7 linked regions of the Coturnix japonica genome follow. The protein of the gene in region 7 binds, or shares a complex with, the protein of the main gene of each other region. Links are inferred from orthologs where the notes say so. Each region holds a gene or a part of one and is shown on either strand. Other genes may lie near its edges.

What was found.
Region 1: MED1 (region 7) and MED26 share a complex: the UniProt entries of both Homo sapiens proteins name them as parts of the mediator complex. The link is inferred for Coturnix japonica from reciprocal best matches to the Homo sapiens genes MED1 and MED26.
Region 2: MED1 (region 7) and MED8 share a complex: the UniProt entries of both Homo sapiens proteins name them as parts of the mediator complex. The link is inferred for Coturnix japonica from reciprocal best matches to the Homo sapiens genes MED1 and MED8.
Region 3: the proteins of MED1 (region 7) and RARB are in contact, whole or in part, in a crystal structure (PDB 1XDK), measured with the Mus musculus proteins. The link is inferred for Coturnix japonica from reciprocal best matches to the Homo sapiens genes MED1 and RARB. Residues at the interface, in NP_001073587.1 of Mus musculus: His642, Pro643, Met644, Leu645, Met646, Leu648, Leu649, Lys650, Asp651; in NP_001276689.1 of Mus musculus: Ile264, Val267, Lys271, Phe276, Ile281, Gln284, Ile285, Leu288, Lys289, Pro435, Leu436, Glu439, Met440.
Region 4: MED1 (region 7) and MED4 share a complex: the UniProt entries of both Homo sapiens proteins name them as parts of the mediator complex. The link is inferred for Coturnix japonica from reciprocal best matches to the Homo sapiens genes MED1 and MED4.
Region 5: MED1 (region 7) and MED13 share a complex: the UniProt entries of both Homo sapiens proteins name them as parts of the mediator complex. The link is inferred for Coturnix japonica from reciprocal best matches to the Homo sapiens genes MED1 and MED13.
Region 6: the proteins of MED1 (region 7) and RXRA are in contact, whole or in part, in a crystal structure (PDB 1XDK), measured with the Mus musculus proteins. The link is inferred for Coturnix japonica from reciprocal best matches to the Homo sapiens genes MED1 and RXRA. Residues at the interface, in NP_001073587.1 of Mus musculus: Asn641, His642, Pro643, Met644, Leu645, Met646, Leu648, Leu649, Lys650, Asp651; in NP_035435.1 of Mus musculus: Phe282, Val285, Lys289, Phe294, Leu299, Gln302, Val303, Leu306, Arg307, Thr454, Phe455, Glu458, Met459, Glu461, Ala462, Pro463.

Annotation. Positions count from the first base shown.
Region 1 is NC_029543.1:3,359,649-3,362,889, forward strand, and holds the end of MED26 (mediator of RNA polymerase II transcription subunit 26), read left to right. Parts: intron 1-363; coding exon 364-2,058; 3' UTR 2,059-2,741; downstream 2,742-3,241. UniProt on the Homo sapiens protein: Component of the Mediator complex, a coactivator involved in the regulated transcription of nearly all RNA polymerase II-dependent genes.
Region 2 is NC_029523.1:17,388,685-17,392,658, reverse strand, and holds the start of MED8 (mediator of RNA polymerase II transcription subunit 8), read left to right. Parts: upstream 1-1,174; 5' UTR 1,175-1,254; coding exon 1,255-1,260; intron 1,261-3,200; exon of another isoform or gene 3,201-3,218; coding exon of another isoform or gene 3,219-3,224; intron 3,225-3,685; coding exon 3,686-3,804; intron 3,805-3,974. Other genes in the region: KICSTOR complex protein SZT2, read right to left, coding at 1-3, 606-779, 886-1,011, 1,145-1,174. UniProt on the Homo sapiens protein: Component of the Mediator complex, a coactivator involved in the regulated transcription of nearly all RNA polymerase II-dependent genes.
Region 3 is NC_029517.1:34,755,308-34,758,807, forward strand, and holds part of RARB (retinoic acid receptor beta), read left to right. Parts: intron 1-2,479; coding exon 2,480-2,684; intron 2,685-3,500. UniProt on the Homo sapiens protein: Receptor for retinoic acid. Retinoic acid receptors bind as heterodimers to their target response elements in response to their ligands, all-trans or 9-cis retinoic acid, and regulate gene expression in various biological processes.
Region 4 is NC_029516.1:150,965,039-150,967,447, reverse strand, and holds the end of MED4 (mediator of RNA polymerase II transcription subunit 4), read left to right. Parts: intron 1-1,177; coding exon 1,178-1,350; 3' UTR 1,351-1,395; exon of another isoform or gene 1,396-1,528; 3' UTR 1,529-1,909; downstream 1,910-2,409. UniProt on the Homo sapiens protein: Component of the Mediator complex, a coactivator involved in the regulated transcription of nearly all RNA polymerase II-dependent genes.
Region 5 is NC_029534.1:6,211,635-6,215,134, forward strand, and holds part of MED13 (mediator of RNA polymerase II transcription subunit 13), read left to right. Parts: intron 1-1; coding exon 2-191; intron 192-708; coding exon 709-1,171; intron 1,172-1,437; coding exon 1,438-1,657; intron 1,658-1,920; coding exon 1,921-2,112; intron 2,113-2,267; coding exon 2,268-2,491; intron 2,492-2,893; coding exon 2,894-3,036; intron 3,037-3,240; coding exon 3,241-3,399; intron 3,400-3,478; coding exon 3,479-3,500. UniProt on the Homo sapiens protein: Component of the Mediator complex, a coactivator involved in the regulated transcription of nearly all RNA polymerase II-dependent genes.
Region 6 is NC_029532.1:5,859,644-5,863,143, reverse strand, and holds part of RXRA (retinoic acid receptor RXR-alpha), read right to left. Parts: intron 2,251-3,500; coding exon 2,121-2,250; intron 25-2,120; coding exon 1-24. UniProt on the Homo sapiens protein: Receptor for retinoic acid that acts as a transcription factor.
Region 7 is NC_029542.1:3,842,918-3,847,192, reverse strand, and holds the start of MED1 (mediator of RNA polymerase II transcription subunit 1), read left to right. Parts: upstream 1-1,475; 5' UTR 1,476-1,652; coding exon 1,653-1,680; intron 1,681-2,537; coding exon 2,538-2,644; intron 2,645-3,103; coding exon 3,104-3,182; intron 3,183-3,566; coding exon 3,567-3,621; intron 3,622-3,751; coding exon 3,752-3,884; intron 3,885-4,210; coding exon 4,211-4,239; intron 4,240-4,275. Other genes in the region: CDK12 (cyclin-dependent kinase 12), read right to left, coding at 1-719. UniProt on the Homo sapiens protein: Component of the Mediator complex, a coactivator involved in the regulated transcription of nearly all RNA polymerase II-dependent genes.

The sequences.
Region 1 (3,241 bases), on a different chromosome or scaffold from region 7:
GAGGTGCTTTTCTGAAGTAATCGACTTGTAGAACAATTCTTTGCTTTCAGGCATGTTTTGGGAACAATCTCTTTGCTTCCTTCCACTTACGGAACCATGTTGGGACAACCTAGGAAAGCTCATTTGTTGGCCTTTTGAGATAGGGAGCAAAGATGGAGGAAGAAGATAGGACATCACGCTTTGGTTTGTGCAGTGGAGATTTATATTTGTAACATATGGATTAATTCAGCTCTTGCATCTGTAGCATTTTGTACCAGGCTTTTCTTAGGGTAAGCATTAAAAAGCAGGAATTTAACTTAAAAATGGGGTCAGAATTTTGTTTTGAATTATGCCTGTTGGTAAAACAAGTTTTGTGTTTTGTAGGAAACAAGGCTTGGGAGGCTTATCAATGAGGTGAGGAAGAAGACATCCAATGAGGAACTTGCCAAACGTGCCAAGAAGTTGCTGCGGAATTGGCAAAAGTTGATAGAACCTGTAACCCCAAATGAGGCGGTGCCAAGAGGGCTGCAGAATCCACCCGGATCAGCAAATGGTGGTGCTCACAACTGCAAACCAGAAGCACCCCTTCCTGCCGTGGCTGGGTCAAAACCTATCAGTGAATTGAAAAGCAGGAACGATATCCAGAAACTAAATTCTCCAAAACCAGAGAAATTGGGAAATCGGAAAAGGAAAGGTGAACACAGGGATGGGCACCAGGGCCCCCCTCCCACCAAGGTCTCCAAAGTTAGTCATGAAATATTACAAAACTCTTCATCCCCTCCAACAAACGGAATTGGAGGTAGTCCCGAGAGTTTTCCTAGTCCTGTAGATGTAAATCTACATGCAGGGCCTGAAAGCAGCAGGACAGAACTTAGTGAAAATGATAAACACAATAAGATCCCAGTAAATGCTGTAAAACCTCACACCAGTTCTCCAGGACTCGTAAAACCTTCAAGCACTTCCTCGTTATTAAAGACTGCAGTGCTTCAGCAGCATGATAAATTGGAAGAAACCACCGGGTCGCACCAACCCAAGAGTCCGCGCTGCTCCTCGTTTAGCCCTCGAAATGTTAGGCACGATACTTTTGCTCGGCAGCATACCACGTACTCACCAAAGGATTCAATGCCTAGTCCATCTCAAAGGTCTCAGTTCTTAGATACTGCACAGGTGCCATCACCGCCACCATCCTTGATGCAACCATCAACGCCTCCAATGCCAGCTAAAAGACTGGAGTTCTCTCAGCAATCAGCATCTGAGGTGTCCCAGCACTGGCAGGAGCAGCAGGTACCTTGTGACAGCCAGCACAGGCACACAGCAGGGACACTTCCACAGCACACATCTCCCAGTTGCAAAACCAGCTCCCACCCGGGGGAATCTCTCATGTCGCACATCGGCTTTTCACAGGACGCTTCAAAAATGGACAGTGATGATGCTGCTTCAGGTTCAGATAGCAAAAAGAAGAAAAGGTACCGACCTAGAGACTACACAGTCAACTTGGATGGGCACGTGACAGAAGGGGGTGTGAAACCTGTGAGATTAAAAGAGAGGAAGCTCACTTTTGATCCCATGACAGGACAGATAAAACCTTTAACACCGAAAGATCCTTTGCAGGTAGAAATCCCTGCACTTACTGAACAGCACAGGACAGAAACGGAAAAGCAGGAGCAAAAACCCAACCTGCAAAGCCCCTTTGAACAAACGAACTGGAAAGAATTGTCCAGAAATGAAATAATTCAGTCATATTTAAACAGACAGAGTAGCTTGCTGTCTTCATCAGGAGTACAGACTCCAGGAGCTCACTACTTCATGTCTGAGTATTTAAAGCAGGAGGAAAGCACTAGAAAAGAGGCTAGAAAGACTCACGTTCTGGTTCCTAACAGCAAACCTACAGACTTGCCTGGGGTCACGAGGGAGGTCACGAATGATGATCTCAACAGAATACGTGAACATAACTGGCCAGGCGTGAACGGTTGTTATGATACACAGGGTAACTGGTATGATTGGACACAGTGCATATCTTTAGATCCACACGGGGATGATGGTAGATTGAACATCCTGCCTTATGTCTGCCTAGACTGAGTAACAGGTTTGCTAAAATGCTTTTACATTCACAGTTAGCGAGAATGGCAGACACTATGCCACTTAAAGATGGAGAAAGCCTCCTGTCCTGGACAAATAGGCCCAACGAGCAGAGGGTGAGAGGGAGCTGGTTACGTACAGCTCTTCCCTTTAAATTCTCCTTTTGTGAAATGCTGCTACCAGTTTACTAACAATTGCAAAGGAAGGCATACGAAGGTTGAGAAAACTGAGTTCAAAACTCTCTAGCGAGCCAGCTATAAAAAAAGTGTTAGTCCCCAAGAAGTGAAGATGATTTCCAGCACTTTCTGAATGCCGGAATCTGACGACAGGCAGGTACAGAGAAAATTGTGGAAGTTACCTTAACAAAATATGCATCTATTTATTTGACTTGATTTGGATTTTTATTTGGCAGTGAGGTATTCAAGAGACGATGTGCAAAAACTGTAGTTTTATTTGTATGGCATCTCTGAACATGATTGTGTTTTTTTTTAAAGTCATGTGGTACGGAGATTGGCTTTTAAACAGCAGGTGTTGCACTGCAGGCTGGGAGACCAGCTTCAGCTCAACATTCCATGGGCATCCACATGTTTCAGTCTGGTTTTGGTTTAAATCCAGTCTCTGAGAAATGCTGCAAAAAAAAAACCCAGATATTTCCTGACATTTTTGATCCCGCCGCCACCAGCCAAATATTTTCCTCCTTTTCCCTTCCTGCAAAACTACTAGGAAACAAAAAACTAAATAAAAAAATCACCTTTTCTAGAATCTAAATGTAACGAGGGTGCTACAAGTCCGTAACTGTACTGTGAGAGGGAAAAAGGAAGCCTGTTTGTATGCTGGAAATATACTTGTTACCATTCCTTTAGATATTGTTTGCCTTATGGATATCCATCATAAACGCAATTTGCAAAAACAAAGAGCCTTAGTGAATGTACAGTACCTAGACTTCTGTGTTCCTGGGATGCAGAAGGGAGCAACTTTGCTATTTGGTCCTTTAAGTGGACACATTGTGATATAAATGTGGAAATAAAAAAAAATTTGCACAAAGCAGTTTGTGAATTATTTATATTGAACTAATTTATTTTTGAAGATCTGCTCCATTCCAAGTAACAGAACCCAGTGGAGCCGTGCGGGTCCCACCGGGCAGTGCCAGCCGCTGCTGTTAGGGACGTAGTGATGTCTTCCA
Region 2 (3,974 bases), on a different chromosome or scaffold from region 7:
ATCCTACAGAAACAGAAGAGGAGAATTATAGAATCATTATAGCTAAGATTACCTTGTCCAACCATCAACCCATTCCCACCACACCCACTAACTGCACCTCACATCTCCACAGCTTTTGAACACCTCCTCAGTCCTTCTGACCACACTAGTTCTGATACAAGCCAGGATGCCTTCTTGGAGACCTGGGCACACTGCTGGCCCATGTTCAGCCAGCTGTCAGCTAACACTCCTAGATCCTCTCCCTCCATAAAGCTCTCAGCCACAGCCCCTAAATCAGCAGCACTGCATGGGGTAAACAAAACAGCTTTTACATCTTCTGGAATCTGCAATCTCATTGCACCCACCACACAGAGACAAGTACAAGCCTATTTCTGCAACAGCAGCTGCCTCAGAACGACCCCTGCAAGCAGAGGTCACACATTCTGCAAGGAAACAGGATCCACTGCAAGGCTGTGTTGCCAGCAGCAGTGCCTGCTTCAGCCCTCAGGAACACAGGACCCCTGCAGGAGTGACCACTAATGCAGGGACACACATGTTCTCAGCAGAGGGAACCAAGCCTGGTCCTTTAACACAAAACACCCCAGAGAGGCAGCTCCTGGACTCACCACGATGCCAGTGGAAGGGCTCAGATCGAGCTCAATGACAAAGCGGTACTGGCGGGCCAGGAACGTAACGCGCGTGGAGGGCACCAAGAGGTAGGGCCGGGGCTGGACGGGCTCATCCGGCTGCCATCCGTTGGGCAGGATGCTGAGCACATCCAGCTCGTTTTCTGACTTCAACTACAACAAGAAGCGAACGACAAGCATGAAACATTACTCCAAGCCAAAGGACACGCCGAGATGCAGGGCCACCATCCACCCTGCAGCACCCCCGGCCCCCACTCACCAGCTCGGGCTCGGGCACAGCCCAGATGACCTGGTGCAGCCGGCTGAGCACCCAGGCGAGCCGCACGTTGCGGGAGATGCGATAGTCCTTCTTCATCAACAGGAAGACGTGCCCAGCCTCCTCCACCTGCAGCAGAAGCACAGCGCCTCGTCACTCCAGGCCGGGCACCACCACAACCCCCGACCTCTCTACACAGTTCCCGGTCTCAAAGCCGCAAACAACCCCGCCTCCCCTCGCCCCGCAGCGCGTTACCCCTCACCTCAGCCTCGGGCCTCTCGGCAGCCGCCATGTTTGCCCGGCGGCCCCGCCCCGCGCCCTCTGACCTGACTCGGAAGTGGAAGGCTGCCATAACAACAGGGCCGCGCAGCCATGCAGGTGAGGGGCTGTATGGGGTTGAGCAGGGCTGTATTGGGCTGGGCTGGGCTGGGCTGGGCTGGGCTGGGCTGGGCTAGGCTAGGCTAGGCTAGGCTAGGCTAGAGGGAGCAGTAGGCCCGTATGGGGTTCCGCTGTGCCCCGTGGGCCGGGCTTTGGAGGAGTAAAGCAGTGTGCCCAGTTGTTCGAGAAGGTCTATGGTATCTTGGCTCGTGGAGGCTCAGTGTATCCTATAGGAGCGGGGTGGTGGGCGTCCCTCTGTGCTGACATTGGTTGAGGCCGCATCTCGAGTGCTGCGTTCTGTTCTGGGCCCCTTAAGCAAGAAGGGCATTGAGACCTGAGCGTGTCCAGAGATTGCGACAGGGAAAGTGAGGGGTGGAGGCATTACAGAGAGCAGCTGGGGGAGCTGGGATGGTTCAGTCTGGATAAAAGGAGGCTCAGAGGGACCCCATGACTCCCTTAAACTCTCCAAATATTTACAATGGGGTGGAGGTCGGCCTCCTCTCCCAGGTAACAGTGACAGGATCCCTTGCTTTCCTAATAAATCCCATTATTACTTTGATTTCCTCGACTTCTTGAGCCTCAGGCTGATGTTTCCCTGGGTTACCCTCGGATAATCCTCAGATCTTGTTTGTGAGTGATAATGTTATCAGCTCAGAGAATGTCATTGTGTGTGTGTAAAGTCAGGGTTGTTTATTTCTCTTTGTTTCATTGTGTGTATTGCTTTATGTTTATTCTGAATTTCACCTTTACCTCCCAGTCATTCATTATCAGGAGTTCCTTCAGCAGTCTCTCCCGTAAATCCTATTTTATTACCCTGGGACAATTCAGTATTGTTAACAGACTCCTTGAATTGCTGCTTGTATATGTCTGTGAGAGGCAGAGTATTTCTTTGAATCATTGATCTTGGTGCACGTGTGCTTTGCGGTGCTTAAACTTACTTCCAGCTCTCATGGAGAGAGCACACAAAAGGAGGAGGCTCAGACTGCACTGTCACACAGTGTAGTGTGATTTCATTCACAATCTTTAGGGCTTCTTGGATACGCGCTGGCAATGGGCCACACCAGTTGTCTTGGTTGTGTGTACCTGCCACCTCTGCAGTGAGATACTGGCTCCCAGCCCAACTCGTAGTGCTGTCAGTGGTTCATCTTGCTCAAACACAACGTGCACAGTCAGCGTTAGACTTGTTTCTTAAGTGCACAGGAACAGACTAGTCCCATCACAGGATGGCGGAGAGCTGCAGTGCTGTAGCTGTGAGTTGTAACCCCGTGGTTTGCTCTGTTAATCCATGCTGTGGATTGGAAGTGGATTTTAGCCACATTTATTTTGCCATTTCTTCTAAGGTAGTGAAGTCTTATCAGCAGTCTATGGAAAAAAAAACAAAACCTTTATAGTCTTGTCAGACCGTGAGTAGAATAATTTCATGTTCTCTTAAATGTGGAAGATACTTGATGATCTCATGCTAGTTTCAGTTTGTTTAAACAGCACAAGGATCCCAATAGTGAGCGTGCAAGCAGACTGAGTCACCCCATCTGCTTTCCCAATCAGCATTCCCTTTCTATTATTTAACTGTATTGCTGTGTCTCACCCTCCTCGTGGATTATTGTTGTACAGTCCTTGACTTACATTAGCAGTCCATTAGGATTGGGGCTTTAATTACATTTTGTGCAATTCTGTTGAATGAGTAAGAATAGATAAGGTTCTAGAGGGTTTTCGCAAGAGTCGGAGATATTCTGTGCTATATGTGACAACAGGTCTCCTCTCCTATTGCTTTGTATGTCACCATACTCCTCTCAGCTAGGGGAGAAGATTATTTAAGCAGTGCACCAAGGCAAAAGGCAGCAGGTGATCTCTGCATGTGTCTAACTACGTCACTGACACTGCAGCGCCTTCCACAGCTGGTAAGGGACAAGGAATTTTTAGGAGCTGGATGCAGCACCTGGACAGGAAGAAAGTGAGAGATGAGGGTAAGGGCAGAAACTGGAGTCTTTGGGCCACTGATCTGATACTTGTTTTGCAAATGGCTGTGCTGGGTGAAGACATCACTGTGCCTGCTGTCAAAGGGTGCTGAGAATGCTAATCTGCTTTCAGCTGGGTTAGCATGAATAACTCACGGAGGTGGTGCAAGGTAACTTTGATGACTTTGCCTGATGCAAGTGATGTATAGGCTTTACTTATCTAGATCTTAAAAATGACAGCTAGCCATGGGTTGGCTCAGGTACGAGTCTCTTCCTAAATGTTTCTTACAAGGAGACAAGATAAGTGTGAAAATGTAGGATTTTTATCTACGTGGTCTCTGTTTCCTTGCCTTGAAGAGGAGTCTCTCCATAGGAGAGGGTGGAATATGGTTGCAGATGTATGGATCCCCACAGTCCTTGGAAAGGTACAAAGCTTTGTCCTCACCCCTATCTTTCATTCTTTTTTTCAGAGAGAGGAGAAGCAGCTGGAGCTGACCCTGGAGGCACTCATCAGCCAGGTGGCTGACCTGAAGAACTCATTGGTCAGTTTTATCTACAAGCTGGAGAATGAGTACGATCGACTCACATGGTAAGGCATCCCACAGAGACAGGGCACTGTCACTGATCGCTGCTGAAGCTCTTCTAGACTCTGCCCAAAAAGTGTAATTAAAAGCCACTAACTTGCTCTCCACAGGCTTACCTTCACTTTTCATGTTAACGTTGGTGAAACTACTGAGTATCTCCCACCCGAAAAACAGT
Region 3 (3,500 bases), on a different chromosome or scaffold from region 7:
TCTTTTTAGCTGTTTGTAACTGAGTCATAGACACTTCAAGATGTATTCTTTAAAACAAAGGGTCCTTTAATCATTGGCAAGAACCTTATTTATGGCTGCAAGTGGCATTTAAGAGCAGAGTGACAACTAAAATACTTGGCTTAGTTACAAAACCTAAACAGTACTGAAGACATTAGGAGGATGTCTTCTAGACAGTTTAAAATGGGGAAAGATACAGTGATTTCTTATTTTGAAGTGCTGACATTTCCCATATGTTCTTCAGTGACTATGAGCTTGAAATTGACTTTACTTTGACACTGGAAGTTTGCCCAAGAAAGGTTTAGCAGCAACTCAGCAATATCCTTAGCATTTCACAGATCTTGATGAAGGGCATAAATTTAAAATAAATAAATAAAAAACCACAAGAATAAAAAAAACAACACACAAAAACATTTTAAATGATCTGTCTCAGAGTTTAATAACAGTGTGTTGTGGGATAATGTAGAAGGAATGCAGGAGAAACCTGAGAGCTGATTGCTCCAGTCAAGTTAAGTGCATTGCAGAAAACACATAGTTGAGCTTCAGCTGTGCCAGTTGCCCCGTCTGAGCCACTGCAGGCTCATCCAATTAAAGGCTCAAGCGGCATTTAGGCACAAAAGCCTCAAGTCTGCCTTTTGTGAAAAACCTTCCCAGTTGCCGTCTGTGCCTGGAAGTAACTACATTCCATGGGACCCGAAGGTTTTAATCACGAATTGTGCAAGGCTCCCTGTGCCTGCTCACTGGGGCTCTGGGCTCCGTAACCCAGCACCCGACTTGCTCCTGCTGTGGGTGCAGCTTGGATGACTTAGTCCATGTCAGCACTGTGGCAGCTTCAGGCTGCTCCGTGTGTCCTCAGCAGAGCGAGGCCAGCTCACAGGCAGCACTGGGACTGTTGAGGAACCCACAAAATGTGCTCAGCAGGAGGCAGGTTGCTTGGACAATTCTAAGTGTGTAGTTTCTGTTCTTCTAGGTAGGCTCTAAGAGGTGTTTCTTGTTCCAGCAGCTCCCTCCGTGCTCCTTATTATTCCTTTTAAAGATTACAGAATTTTAGAATACCCTAAGTTGGACAGGTGAGGATCATCGAGCCCAACTCCTGGGTGTAAAGGTTAAGAAACAGTGAGTGTGTGGGGAGAGAACCTCCAGCGGTTTCTGTCAGTGTAGGGTACGGTAACCTTGCCATCTTCTATTGACAAGGCACCATGCACTGTAACATTTCCTTCCAGTCACAACCCTGAGGTGAGTGTTGGCCAGCACACAGAACCTCTGCATTCCTCATGGCCAGCAAAAAGGTGTGAACTCATGTCTTCCCTGGAACGCTCTTATCTGTGCTCAGGGTGGGCCAGCTCATCTCACAGAGGTGGACCTGCCAAAGCCAACTCAGCCCTTCCTTGTGCAGCGTCAGGGCAGCACTGAGGCTGCTTGGCCTGGGAGATGCCGGGCTTGGTGTGGCTGCCTGGGCAGGTGTGGTGCTGCAGCACGCGGCTGTAGCTGAGGGGAGAAGAGGAAAAGCTGGGCGAGCTCCTGAGGCTGCCGCGTGCTGCCACGTGAGGGTTCAGAGCCTGGTAATCGGCTCAGAAGGAGTGTGCAGGCCGCAGGACAAGCAGCGCTTTGTGGAGCTGCTGGTGGGGACGGATGGGGATGAGTCAGGGCCCAGGGCAGGAAGGTCGGCACTGAGGCAAAGTGCAGGTCAGGCCTGATGAGTGAAGTAGGAATGTGTGCAGAGATCACCTTAACTGGCATCTATACTATAGCTCCTTGTGGGTGTTCTGAAAGGCAGGAGTGCAGCCCTGGGTCTGTGAGCAAGGAGTAGCCTGATGCTCCTTATGTTGGGCTTCCTTTCCATTTCTTTCTCCCGGCTGAGCATTTGTTCGCTTGCTGATTGAGTTCTACAGTACAACTTTGCTGTCACAGGAGAAATGAAGGAGCCTCAAGAGCTCAGGCTGTGTTCTGCCTCGTTCAGCAGTTGGGGTTTGTACCTCCCAGAAGGCAGATATCCCTTGTCCTACCAAAGTCACAGTGCAGAGCAGCGCTGTCACACAGATGTGACCCCCAAACCAATGAGCAGTTCAAGTATCATGAATGATCTTGCTGGGATCAGAGTGGCAATGCAGTAACGATAGTTTGATGTGTAGAGAGTACTAATTAAAGTGCCATTTATGGGATTATTACAGTAATGCTGATGAGTGAAGTCATGGGAACACACAGAATTTTTGAGTATCTCACAACCAAAGGGAAAGCTTTGAAGTGACCAATTTCTACTACAAAAACAATCGTAGACAGTCAAGTGTTTGTTTATGTGGAGAACTTCGGGGCTACTGGAACTGAACGTACCGGAGTTTGGTTTCAGATTGTTTTGACGTGAGCACGTACTTCAGTTCCACGGGTAATTTGCTGCGTCGGGAGAAGGCAGCAAACCTCTCAAGGGCTGAATTCTTCAGGTTACATCTTTATCCCTCCACAGATCCTCAGAATTTGCACAAGATACACACCAGAACAAGACACCATGACATTTTCAGATGGCCTTACCCTGAACCGAACTCAGATGCACAATGCTGGATTTGGCCCCCTGACCGACCTCGTGTTCACCTTTGCCAACCAGCTCCTGCCTTTGGAAATGGATGACACAGAAACCGGTCTCCTTAGTGCCATCTGCTTGATCTGTGGAGGTACCGTACGGCGGGGAGTCAGATGCCTTTAAAACAACAGACGCATTAAGATCTTCATTTATGCTTTACTTGTTTTGCTTTCCTGTACTAAAATGTGTATATATAGAGAGAATATGTATATGTAGTGTTAGTATGTATTATATACATGTCACCTAAACCAGCTGCACTAAAGGTTTGTTTTCCACTGATGGTGGTTATTGTTTTCATTATTGGTGGGGTTTTAAATAAAATCAGGCCCATCTTATTGACTGCCTCGTGAGGGACTACTGCAGGATATATCCCACTGCTTCTTCCTGAGCAGTGTTTGGGTACCTGCATAACTGACCTGCATTAGGGCAAGAGGCTGGTTGTGCAGCTTTTACTCATAAATACAATTGCATGCATGTGCATAGGGTTACATTCGTACAGAAGTCTCTGGGGATAATTAAGAAAATGCAGGCTGTGCTTCCAAGTTAGCAGAATAGCACTGGTAATGTGAAGGGGGTTCGGGGGGTAGGAGGGGGAGGAGCTGATTCCACCTCAAAAGGGGCACTGCCAGTAAAATCAGGTAAAGCTGTATTTCTGCAACACAAAAAGAAAGTCTAATATTGTTTCCATAAGACTCTTTCGCTTCTCTCAATTTAATCACCCAGTCTCTGTTCCGCTGTGCAGATTCTGGGCTAGCATTAGAAACCCTGTGTTCAGATGGGCCATTCTGTGCAAATGCAAACTCAAAACCATTTTCTTTTTTATTTTTTCTTTTTATTTTTTGCATAATTATGCATTGTGGTGCTTAAAGCGTTATTAGAGAATGACTGTTTTGAAAACAAAAGTCAT
Region 4 (2,409 bases), on a different chromosome or scaffold from region 7:
ATAAGAAGTCCCTTCCCAGCTTTCTTTTAGTCCCCCCTCAGGTACTGGAAGGTCGCTATAAGGTCCCCCCAGAGCCTTCTCTTCTCTAGGCTGGATGGCCCCAGCTCTCTCAGTGTGTCCTTGTAGGGGAGGTGCTCCAGCCCTCTGATCATCTTTATGTTGCTCCTCTGGATCTGCTCCAACAGCTCCATGTCCTTGTGTTTGGGGCTCCAGAATGGACACAGCACTCCAGGTGGGGTATGAGAGCAGAGTAAGGGGGAGTCTGCTGGTCATGCTTCTCTTGGTGCAACTGAGGACACTGTTGGTCTTCTGGGCTGCAAGTGCACATTGCCAGCTCACGTTGAATCTTTCATCAATCAACACCCCCAAATCCTTTTCCCCAGGGTTGCTCTCAAGCCATCCTCCGCCCAACCTGTATCTGTAGGAGTAGAGATTAGAAAGAAAGGAGCAGAAATGACATACAGATGCACGCTGCAGCTTTGAAGTGGGAGGCAAAGAGGAGAGAGACTAAGAAGTGTCGTGGAGGGAGTTCCCTTGTAGGTTCGTGAGAAATACATGTTTGGAGAGCTTTGGAATAGATGAGGAGAAATAAATCTGAGAGACGTTGGAGGACGCTGGGGTTGGGCTGCTGGGGCACTGTGAGGCATTCCCACCTCCCAGATACATCTGTTTATGGCACTTGTTTTGTAGTAGGACTGTCTTCTCCCTTGCATTTGCTGCATTGTATTTGCTCTTTGAAAAAGGATAACCGAGGTGTTTCTACCTTGTTCAGACTGAACTTAAATCTGAATTCCTGTGCCTACCTTATTCTTTCTTGCTGTAATATTTTCATGTCTTTTTGCATAGTGTCTGAGAGTGACCGTTTTCATAACCGCTGGTGGTTTTGACTGTTAAGTCAGTTCATGTAGAGCTTTTCACCTTCAAAACACAGTTTGAATCTATACTGTTCTGAATTTACTTTTTCCTTTGATGAGAGATTAAGCCACCTACATAAATAAGCCTGTGGCAGAATAGGCTCTTACAGTGATAGAATGACTCCATCACAAGGTGTTTTTCAGCTGTCCAAAAGCCAGTCATGTTTTTAAGATTTGCTTGAATTTTACACTGTTGTTTGAGCTCCCTTGTTTAGATGGTGGACACACACAACTGATGGCTTGATTATGCTCCTTGTTTCCAGATGTGCTCGCTCCTCAGTATCCTTGGCAGTCAAGTGATATGTCAATGAACATGCTACCTCCTAATCATAGTAATGACTTCATGTTGGAGCCTCCGGGACACAACAAAGAGAATGAAGATGATGTAGAAGTGATGTCAACAGACTCCTCAAGCAGCAGCAGCGACTCAGACTAGGTACAGGAGGGACAGTATCCCTAGTAGACCTTTCCTGTGGTGAAGGTAGGTTGGATGCTGTTATTCAAAGTCCCTTTTATTTATGCTGGCAGCCCCATGCAGGGAGAAGATACAGCAAGCTCAAAGAGTGGCTAATTTCAAACCATGAACTTAAAATTTATATATCTTTTCCCATTAGATGTTCAACTAAAATGACTGGGAGCTTTCTGCTGGATGAGGGATGTCAGATTTCCAGTGCTGATGTAAATGTGTATGTTTGCAAGAGATGCGTGCGTTTGTATATATATTTACTATACATATTAGAGGACAACGTTCCTGGGACAAAAGGTGTAAGGGGAATCCCCTCCTATGTTTGCTAGTAACTTGACTCTTTTGAAGATGGCCTTTTCTATGGCACAGAAACAAGGCATAACATTTGTAATTTTAATACCTTTTTTGTTACTGCTGAAATGCACGTTGTTAATCACATAGTGTGTTCTGAGAACAAAACCATGGCAATAAGGTGTTTAAAAAATGTTTGTAATTACTGTAATATACAATAAACTCACCTTTGATGTAACTTTGCTGCGCTTTGCAAACATAAATCTTTAGGTTTATTGCGTGAATTCATTAGTCAGCACATTTCATCTCAGTGTGCGTTTGATTTCGGATTAAGTTTTAGAAGCTCGTGGTCCTTTTTTCCCTTTGCAAAGTGCAATGTTGTTATTAGAAGCAGCTGAGCAGTCAGCACCTGCAGGTCTGTTCTTTTCAGCTGAGCCTATTGGGTACATACAGCTGCAGAGCCTGAAGCAATGATGTACAGTGCCCAGTCACCAGACCCCACAGATATTTTGGTCAGGTATCCCAAGGTTGTGGATGCTTTGGAACATACTGCAGATTCAGCTCTTTTCAGTTCAGAAGGAGCTCACTTATTCTTTAGTCTCCGTCACCTATATTTTTTTTCAGTTCTTTGAACCTGTTTATTTGTTTGCTTCAGCAATTGCATTTTTACCTTCTTTCATCTTTCCAAAGTCATTTCCATTGGCTTTCTTTGTTCTCTTTTGCTTAGTGACTCATATG
Region 5 (3,500 bases), on a different chromosome or scaffold from region 7:
GTCATGCAGACTTGGCCAGCATCGACCTATCTGTAAATTTTTGCCTGATGGAATCATGAGAGTTGGACCCACTGCTTCAAAGAAACTTTCTGAGAAGCTGGTCACAGAATGGTTCTCACAGACAAATAATGCCAACAATGAAGCATTTTCCAAACTCAAACTGTATGCCCAAGTTTGCAGATATGAGCTGGGTATGAATAAATATATATATATTTTACTCTTATTTCATGGAGTTACCACCTAATCCATTGCAGAACAAGAGAAATCATTGAATTTACTTACTGAATCTACTGTTTGTTGCAGTTTTCTGATTTTAAACTAGAAACAAAAAAAGGCAGAAATCCCATATCTTTGCATATGTTCTAAAATGGCTGCTTATCATCAGTATTTGTTAGGGAATGGCAGCGCTATTGCTTGATAGAGACTGCTACTGTTTTTCCATTGCTGTCTTGTGTTCTGAGGCAGTGATTTCTTGCTCAAATTCTAATGACTGGAAAACAAAAGCTACTTTTGAAATAGATTTGAGTGTTTCTGCAACTGTTATAAGACTATTAAAAACTGTAATGTTAATGCTTGCATTCTTTTGAAAGATAAAACATACACTTAAGCTTTATTCACTGTTTTGTTAAAACTGCTATAGGTTCAGTTTAAGTTTGCTCAAAACAGTTGCAGTATAAAATGTATGGATTTTTTTCCCCTTGTTTTTAGGTCCTTATCTTGCTTCTCAGCCTTTGGACAATTCGTTACTTGCCCAAACAAATCTGGTCCCTCCCTCAAGCCAACCAGCCTCTGCTCTGCCCCCCGTGACAGCCAGCACTGGAAATCCCAACACTCCGTCTGCTCCTGCAGCTTCTACCAGTAGTACTATGACAGCAACGTCAAACAGTGCCATGTCTTCTGCAGCTACTACAGCTAACTCAACTTTGACTACTACTGCCACGTCATCCTCTTCTGCTAACATAGGCAGTGGGATCCCAACAAGCAAGCCTTCTTCATTTCCACCTTTTAGCAGTATGAACAATACCACTTCTGCTGCTCTGCCCTCTCAGGCTGCAACGGTCCAAAATGGGCAAACAGGAGGACAGCAGCAACAGCCAGTGCTGCAAACAGCAGGGATGTCTGGAGATGCTACTACAGCAACTGCACAGCCCCACCCAGAGGTTTCTGAAAGGTAATGGAACTGTTAAACCTCATTCAGCCAACAGAACTGTGTGCTGATGAGCTGCTGTAAGAAGGAAGGCAAAAGAAAAAAAACAAGTGATGCTGAGCTGCTGGCAAGCTCACATACAAAACTGAATTATAAACACAATTTCTTATGCCACAGTTAACTTTAAAGGTCTTTAATCTTTGATAGTTTGGTCTTAGTTCTAATGTAAGTAAAAATAAGTCTGTCTCAAACTCAGCGTTTTGTAACTGCTTGTAAAATTTCACTTTCAGCACTATGGATCGTGATAAAGTTGGAGTTCCTACAGATGGAGATTCACACGCTATCACCTACCCACCTGCCATTGTAGTTTACATAATCGATCCTTTTACGTATGAGAAAAAGGATGAGAGCAGCAGCTCATCTAGTTTATGGACACTTGGACTTCTGCGCTGCTTTTTAGAGATGGTTCAGGTTCTTCCTCCGAACATCAAGAATATAATTTCTGTGCAGGTGAGCCAACAGCCACAGAAACGTGCCTAACAAAGCGTCTTTGGCTTTAGCTGTGTTTTGGAGGTGATTATGCCCTTCTTTTATTCACTGAGGGAATTTTCAATGAGAATGATGACCTGAAGTGCAGTGTGGCTTTAGAAGTGGCAGGACCTCAAAGAATTAGAGATGATTGTACAGTTAAATCCTGAAAGCAGCGTACCCAAATACTATCTCAAAAAATGTAATAATTAATCAATTTTATTTCCCTGTGTGACCTGTTGTAGATCGTTCCGTGTCAGTACCTTCTGCAGCCTGTGAAACACGAAGACCGGCAGATTTATACTCAGCATTTGAAGTCTTTAGCGTTTTCAGCGTTTACTCAGTGTCGGAGACCTCTTCCATCTTCCACCAATGTGAAAACATTAACTGGCTTTGGCCCCGGCTTAGCCATGGAAACAGCTCTTAAGAGCCCTGATGTGAGTATTCTTATGATTAATGTGGTTCTGTTAATGTGCAGATGAGAGAAATGTCCCTTTTTATTAAATCATTGGTGTCTTTTACTTGAACTGAACAGAGTTCTTAATAGTAATCTCTACTTGAAACTTCATTTTCTGTTCTGTTGTCCTTATAGAGACCTGAGTGTATTCGACTGTACACCCCTCCTTTTATATTGGCTCCTGTCAAGGACAAGCAAACAGAGCTTGGAGAAACCTTTGGAGAAGCTGGTCAGAAATATAACGTGCTTTTTGTCGGCTACTGTTTGTCTCATGATCAAAGATGGCTTCTTGCATCCTGTACAGATCTCTATGGAGAACAGTTAGAGACGTGCATAATTAATATAGATGTACCGAACAGGTAAGTACCAAACTCCTTTTGATTTTTAACATGTATATATTCTTTCTTTCAAAGAATCATTTTTATCAAGATGATGTGAGAATATCTCTTGCTTTTGTTGACCCACTGTGCTGCAAATTTAAACCAAGTGGATAATTTCAATATGATGTGGATATTGAGTTAAATTTCTAGAAGGAATGTCCTATGGCCTCCTGTGATTGGAGAGTGCTTTGGTTTGTGTGATTTCCCCTTCCACCCCTTCCTCTGGCTTTTGATGTTAGTGTTACAATGTGATGAATGAAAAGCAAACCAATCCTTGTGTCCTGTGAACATTCAGGTTGGTACAAACAAGTTCCAAAGGTGGCAATAGAAGTTTGTCACAGATGGATTCCAGTTTTGTTTTCTCTTCTGTTTTAATTCTAGAGCTCGCAGGAAAAAGGGCTCTGCCCGCAGGCTGGGGCTTCAGAAACTCTGGGAATGGTGCCTGGGACTCGTGCAGATGAGCTCTTTGCCTTGGAGAGTCGTAATAGGCCGCTTAGGAAGAATAGGACATGGGGAATTAAAAGGTAACGTTTGTGCTTCAGTGTCTAAAAGTCGATTTGAAGCTTTCTTTTTAAATAGTATAGTGTCAATCTCTTTCTGGAAGAAAACCTGGGTGAAGCATATGAAGGAGCTCTAAGTTAACTCACAAATACTATGTCATACATAGAATAAGCATTCTTCAGCAAGTGTTGTTCTTCTAGACAAATCTATGTCCTTTGTATCCTCAGACTGGAGTTGTTTGTTGAGTCGCCGAAACCTTCAGTCCCTCAGTAAGAGGCTGAAAGACATGTGCAGAATGTGTGGTATCTCTGCTGCAGACTCTCCCAGCATTCTCAGTGCTTGTTTGGTAGCAATGGAACCGCAGGGGTCCTTCATTATTATGCCAGGTATGTGAGAAACGCTATTTTGGCAGGGGAATTAATTGTTTGTTTTGTACAAAACTAAGGAAATGTTTTTCTTCCAAAGATTCTGTATCTACCGGCTCTGT
Region 6 (3,500 bases), on a different chromosome or scaffold from region 7:
AGGCGATGAGGAGCTCATTCCAACCTGCAGAGAAAACAACAGAAAGGCCATGGTTCAGAACCGTGCATCTTCACAGTGTGGGAATCAGCCACATCCATTGCCCTGGCAACAGTGCATACAATGGCTGAGATGGCATGGCTTCTGTAGCTCGGTATCTGGAGGAGCAGCACTGCTCCATGGGCATCCCACATGGCCATGACCGTGCCTTGGAAACCAGCTTGAGCTCCCCTCCATCCACAGCAATGTGCCTTTTCTCATTGACTGCAATAAACACAAGGTCCATGCGTGCTGTGTTTACCTACAGCTGCAGCAATGGGTTGTGCCACTCAAAGCATTACCAGGGAATAAAGTTCACTGTTCCCTAAGTGGCCACAGGACGGTTCCGCCCCAATCAAGGGACCATTTATTTGGTTACACGCTGGGTGAGGTCTGGCACTTGCAGAGGGATTGCAACACTGAGAACAGAGAGACTGCAGGAAGCTGGAGGGGACCTGGAGAGATGGTGACTCATGGAAAGGTGCTGTGGGCTCAGCCCTATAAAAGGAACCAGAACCAGGCTCTCCCCCTCTCAGTCCTATAAAACATTACTGCTGTCTCAGCCGTAGCAGGTTTGGCACAAAGGAAAACCAGGCAAAACAAGCTGAAAAAAAGTTGGGTTTCCTCCTCCAAAAAGCCCAAAGAGGGAAGGTTTTAAATGATTCAGGACTGCAGAGGAAGGCTGCAGCCACCACCCAGCACTGCTCCTCCATGCGTGCTCCACTTAGTTTTGCCTCAGAGGATGCATGAGTGCACCTGATGGAGGCTCTTAGCTATATTTTAATACTTAAATATTTCATGGGCAGCTGTGCTCTCGCCACTCAATAATAGATAAAGCCACAGCTTAAAGGACTTGGGGGAGGTTATCTGAGGCCCCTGCAGAGATGCTGGGAGTGGGGAACCTGTGGGAGCTCCTCATGCTTATGAACCCATGACAAAACTCCATGATGGTGTCTGCAGCCCCCACCCTCCCTTCACCAACACTGAGACAGCATCAGTTCAACCTTCAATCTCTTGTTCAACCTTCCTCAGCCCCCTTTAGACAAACAATTGCAGCAATTACAGGATCACAAAATGGTTTGAGTTGGATGGGTCCCTTTAAGGCCATCAGGTCCCACTCCCTGCAGTGATTAAGGACACCCACAGCTCCGCAGGGTGTTCAGAGCCCCTCCAGTCTGACCTTGGCTGTCTGCAGAGATACGACCTGTGCCAATGTCTCACCACCCTTAGGAACTATTAGGATTCATGCACTTGGGATACAACTCTAAGTGCATCTGGAGGAAAATATGGGAACATTAAAACTACTGAGGTCTTTTCCTTTCCAATCCCAATTTCATCCTCCTTCCCACTGAGTTTGTCATTTGCTGGAAGGGGTTTCCCACGTCCCACCAACAACTTGCCTGCCCCTTTGTTTCAGGGAACAAAACTGCTGCGTTGACTCAAAGCCTTTGTACTCACTTCTCTGATGATGAGAGCTATGTGAAGAGCTTCGTGCCTACAAAGCACCCTCATCGAGTCTGCTTGTAATTTCCTGCTCCCCCCCCCCCCCCATTAGCCCTTGTGAAGGACCTGCCAGCAGCTGAGGCTTGCGTTTACTTGCTGGAAGAAGACCTCCTTCCCAGCTGACAGCCTGTAACCTCCCAGACCCCCTGCAGCATAAGGAAATTTAAAATAAACCCAAAGAACTTCATTTTCATCTTGGTGGGTGGGAGTGGGAAGGCGATATATATTTTTCTCCCCCGTCTGCTTTTAATTATGATCAAACATTGCAGTTCTATGACATTTCAGACAGACTCAAACCCCCTTGTCTTTCCAGTCCCAGCTCAGGAGGATGCTGGCACATCATGCCCTTGATTTCCTGAGCATCTCGTTCATCACACACAAGGCCGGGCCATTTTTCAGCCCATTGGCAGCTGGTGCAACGTTCTGGATCCCATTCAGCAATACATCCCTTGGGGCTTTGTCAATCATAGTTAGCAGTGGAATGATCTGAAGCTATTCCTCAGATGCAGCTAAAGCCTCTCCAGTTGCCAGCACCCAAATCCCAGCGTGACCATTGAGGGATGCAGTGCATCGGGGCTCACCGGCCCTGAGCAGGATGACCTGGTCGTCCAATGGCAGCGCAGAGAACCTGGGGATCCTCTTGGCCCACTCCACCAAGGTGAAGAGCTGCTTGTCGGCCGCCTGGCAAATGTTCGTCACCGGGTCATTAGGCTGCAAAGAGGAGATGGAAAGGTTTAGAGAAAGCAAGGAGAAAGATGGGAGGAGTAGGAGAAGGAGGGAAGGGGGTGCTGCCTGCTTGCTCCCCAAGTTTGGGAGCTCTGTGCTCAATTTAAGTGGGTATCATCTGCAGGGACCCTGCAGTGTGCACAGCCCAAGTGTAAGCACCTCCTCATTGCACCCCACAGCATGGAGCGGGCATCACAGTAAGGAGAAAAACCCTCTCCTTTGAAATATTACCCAGTAACACAAACCATCTGCTCTCAAGGAGGACAGTCAGCCTAAACACACCAAATCCCTGTTTAAAGGAACTGCTAACAGCTCAAGTGGACTTGTGATTAGGAATGGGAAGAGACCGTCTAACCCCAGCAAAGACAGACCCTGCCAGCACAAGTGTGTATATATGGTTTACCTCTCCGGACAAGGATGTATGAGCCCCTCCACATATCCCGCTGTAATCCCCACTGATACCTAGCAGCTCTGATTGTACAATTATTTTTCTTTATGTCCTTAAAAGAACAGTTTCAAACTCAGAGGAGGAGTGTTTGTTGCACCTCTGCACTGCATGAGGCTGGGGCATGGGTTCTGTGCAGGCAAGGCAGGAGTTGCCCCAGGCACATGTCTGTGTCCCATGGTGTGCTCCCTCCTTCTCACCTTCTTTCTGCCACCCACATTGCTGACTTCTCACTTTTCCACTCATATTCCCTCAATATTGTGGACTTTGGGGTACCTGCCCAGTACACTGGGGGACTCTCTGCATGCAATACATGCCCTTTACCCAGCTGCATGGAGGGAGCAGGAGGTGAGCACACCATAAGGGATGCATTGGCCCCAGGGGATTGAAAGGGAAAAGGTCAGAGACTAAAACAGTGTGGAAAGAACCCTTCCCTTACTGACTGCAGAGCTGACCGTGTGCTCACAAACCAAAGGGAGATGAGAAATGCCACTCTGAGAAAAGGAAAAAGCCCTACAATTCTGCCCAGAGCCATTCCTATGTTCCCCTGCCTGGGTGGCTCTGCTGTTTCCTGGCAGCAAACACCACCTCTGTGTCTCAGTGGCCAACATCTCTCATCTCCAGGCTTAAAATAACCAGCATCTGGCAGGAGCAGGAACACCCGCCTTCAAAGTATTCTCACCTGTTGCTCACAGAGATGGATGGGGACGGGCTGGCACTCAGCACCATGGGTCGAGGGGAGCGTTATGGGGATGGTCCCCCAGCTTCACTTGCTTATCAAGAGAGCTCA
Region 7 (4,275 bases):
GAAGCTCCAGAAGGGCTGTCATCCAATTTTGGGCTGTCCAACCATTTTCTATGGGGACTTCTAGATTTCCGTTTCGGACTGTCAATGGTTTTATAACTTTTGGGAGCATCCCTTTTCCGATGGCTTTTACTTCGCTCTTTGTGGCTGGACTTGAGCTCCCGATCCTTCCTGGACTTTTCCTTGTGCGCTTTGGCTGAGCGGGATTCCTTGTTGCTGCTCTTTGAGGACGGGGCCTTCGGGTGCTCCTCGCTTTCAAGCAGTCTCTTAGAGGACCCCGATACCCTGTCCTTGGTAGACCCGGACCTGCTGGAGGCCTCCAGGCTCTTTTCCAACTTCCTCTCTTTCTCTGCCTGTTTGCTCTTCATCAGCTCACGGATACGTTTGTGCTGGTGGTGTCGATGTTTCTGCGTCCTTTCGCTCCTATCCGCTTTCCTCTCCTCATTCTCCCTCCTGTCCAACTTAAGGGCCAAATCATCCGAGAACGTATCCGAATCCGAACTGATATCATCGTATTCCACCAACGGTTTGATCACAGCTCCCAGAGGCGCCGCCGTCTCTTGGGCGGCCAACGGTGACTCCTTGGAGTGCCGGGATTTATGCCTCTTATGCCTTGAAGCCACCCGGTGCCTCTCCTTGCTATTGGAGCTGCCCGATGAGTGCAGCGAGGTCCCCCCGCCGCCCCCATCCTTCTTCCCCCCATGTCTCTCTTGGTTTGGCATTCCTCCTCCTCCACTGTGCTGGGACAGGGGGAGGCGGGGGCGCTCCTCCAAATCCTCCTCGACTTTCCAACTCCCTCAGCCTCCCTCTATTCGAACCATTCACCGCCCCCCGGCACCTCCTGCTGCATGGGGAGCGGGACGGAGAGAGCGAGGAGGAAGGGAACAACGGGGAGAGGGAGAATGGGAAAGGAACGGAACCGGGAGCGGCGGGGAAGGACACCGGGCCTCAGCGCCTCATCCGAGGGGCCCAGGCCCGGAGGGCAGCGCCGCCGCGGGGGGAGCCCCGGGAAGGCGGGAGCTGGGCCCACGATCCCTCCCGGTCCCGTTGTGTCCGGTTCCCTCCCGCCCTGTCCCAACCCTCAGTACCGGGTTCCCACCGTGCGGCCCCGTTCGGTCCCCGCCGCCCCGGCCCGGCCCAGCGCCCCCCGCTCACTTCCCAAAGCGAAACGGCTCCTCGGCCCAAGGGGGGCACCCGCCAAGTCTCGCGAGATAACTGCTGCTTCTCGCGAGACTCGGCCTGAGCCCTCCCCCCGCGAGATTTCAAGCGCTGAGAATTGGGAAGGCGGAAGGGAGTGCGCGCGCGCGCACCGTCTTCTCGCGAGGTCTGAGAACGAACTTTACTCCGTCCCGGGGAGCGCACGAAGCCCCGCCCCTTCCGCCCGCTCAGCACCAATCAGCATCCAGGGGGCGGGGCTTGAGCGCAACGCCCCGCCCCCTAATCACTCCCCCTTCTCACCATGACTCCCTACCTCTCGCGAGACTCAGAAGTTCTCGCGAGAAGCGGGAGCCGCGGCCGGAGGGATGGCGGCGGGCGCCGCCGTGTGAGGCCGGAGCGGAGCGGCCCGGCCGCGGTTTATCCCCATCCCTTCCCGTTTATCGACGTGATACCGGCCCTGTGGCTCCGCCGCGGGCCGCCCCTCCCCTCCCTGAGGCATGAAGGCGGTGCCGGGAGGCGCTGAGGGTGAGTGCGGCCTAGCGGGGCTGCGCTGTGTGGAGGCGGAGGGAAGGCCCGGCCTCCTCGGGATGGGGGGGGTTCCACAGCTCGAGGGACGGCGGTTGGGCCTGCAGGGAACGGCGGAGCCCGGCCGTGGGGTCCCAGTGGGTCTCTATGGGGTCTCTATGGGTCCCTATGGGTCCCTATGGGTCCCTATGGGGTCTCTATGGGTCCCTATGGGTCTCTATGGGTCCCTATGGGTCTCTATGGGATCTCTATGGGTCCCTATGGGTCTCTATGGGGTCTCTATGTGTCCCTATGGGTCCATACTCACCATGTGTGGGTCGTCGGGTCCCCTCCCCACTTTGGGTCTCTATGGATCCCTATGGGTCCCAGTGGGTTTCTATGGGTCTGAATGGGCTTCAATGGGGTCCCCATGGGTCTCAATGGGTCTCAAAGCTGGGCATTAAGCAGCTCCAGAGCGGGGCTGTGGTGGATGGAAATAAAGGCTGATGGGCTCCTGTGGTAGCGAACCGTTCGGTTGTTTGTTCTGCTTTGATTTGATGGGGTTGGCATTAAGTCCATGACATCTGTGTGTATCAGTTTATAAACCCTTCTGATTCTATAGGCCTTGTAGGGTCATGTTCTATGGCAGTTATGTTGCCATAGACTTGTGTTGGAGCCAGAAATACCTGGTATCAGGGAGATGCCTTCCATAACAATGTAACTTAATAAAGTGCTACAATGAGTTTTAGAGCCCCACAATGTATAGATTGGATTCAGCACACATTTATAAAGGCTGAGTGTGTCCCGGCTTGGAAGGGCTGTGCAATCAGCTCACGTTCTCTTTTGTTTCTATGTTTTCATTCCGCTTTGTCTGACAGAGGCAGAGAAGCTGAATAAGATGAGTGCTCTCTTAGAAAGACTTCATGCAAAGTACAACCAAAACAGACCTTGGACTGAAACCATGAAGCTGGTCCGTCAAGTCATGGTGAGAAGTGCTGGGGTTTCCTTTACAGTGATGCTCAACACTCAGTGTTATCTCAGTCAGATGCAGCTTTGAAATACCTTGGTGAGGGTAGAAAGGAGTGGGAGGCAGGGAAGAGCATCATCAAAAGCTGCTGTATGTGTTGTGGTGTTAAAGTTAATCTCTCTTTGTTTCTCTTGCTCCTCTCATATAACTCGTAGCTTATGCTATTTAAGAAGTTGTTGCAGTCTGATCTTTCACAAGAGCAAGCTTAATAATCAATTCCAGACCTGCCTGTTTTACCCACTGCAAATATGGATATGATTCTGGTACAGGAATCGCAATGAGGGTGTAATTTGGGGATGAAATCCAATCTGCCTTTAATTACCTGAATAAACCTCACTCGACTGAATGAAAATTGCAGTAATTTTCCTCTCATGGAGTGAAACTTTAAAACGACTGTTTTTCTTCTTTCTGACGTAGGAAAAACGACTTGTGATGAACTCTGGGGGGCACCAACATCTGGTGAGCTGTTTGGAGACCTTGCAAAAAGCATTAAAAGGTTGGTACGTGCTGTGCCTGCACTCAGGAAATGCTTAACAGTGATATACTATGGAAATACTCTGTATTAGAGGAACCTGCGAGGTTATTGCTTGCAAAGCTCAGTGTGCTCGTGGTGCTTATAGAAGCATGCTTATTTCTTGTGAGTCATTATCAGCCAAAATTGCCTGTGTTGCTTTTATTCTTATTGCCCATACATGGATTCCACTTGTGGATGAAAATCCACACTGAGAATGTTTGTTTTTCTCTATGCAAAACGATTCTTGTTTTTTGAGTATGGAGTGGGTGTGAGTAAGTAGTTGGGATTGCTTTTAATGCTGATACATCATTACTGGAAAGATGTTCAGTCGTATCACTAAGGCTTATTTTTGCTTTCTTTGTCTAGTGTCTTCTCTGCCTGCCATGACAGATCGCCTGGAGTCCATAGCCAGACAAAATGGGTACATCTTCTCCTTTGTTTCACAGCAGTTTTGTATCTCCTACTTATCTGTATACATCATAATTTTGCTGCTGGTTTGACTGTTTCTTGTGTGTATCTCTTAGTAATTTTTGCTTTGTTTTGTATTTAAGCCTTGGATCACACCTCAGTGCAAATGGCACCGAATGTTACATCACTTCAGACATGTTCTATGTGGAAGTCCAGTTAGATCCTACAGGGCTGCTATGTGATGTCAAGGTGGCTCACCATGGAGAGAATCCTGTGGTACGTATTGCTAAGAAATACAAGAAAAATACCTTTGTTTTTGGAACTGCAGTTTTGCTTCCCTTTTTCTTGTGCAGAGAAAATGGATTGTACTGAACATTCCCCCAAACCTAATGTTATATCTGCTTGTTCTGCTGCTTCTGAAAGTTTCATTTCTGGGGGAAGAATAGGGAAATTAATCTTGTATTTGTGAGTGTTTTGTTGCTTCTCATCAAAACTGATGCTCACAGACTTCACTGTCCTGATATTTTACAGCTGCTGTGCTGCACAAAGACTTACACTGAAGCATTTGATGTTGATTTTGCTGTGTGTTCTTTCCTTTTCAGAGCTGTCCAGAATTGGTGCAACATCTGAGGTGAGCAACAAGAGCTGTTGCATCATTCTGATTTTG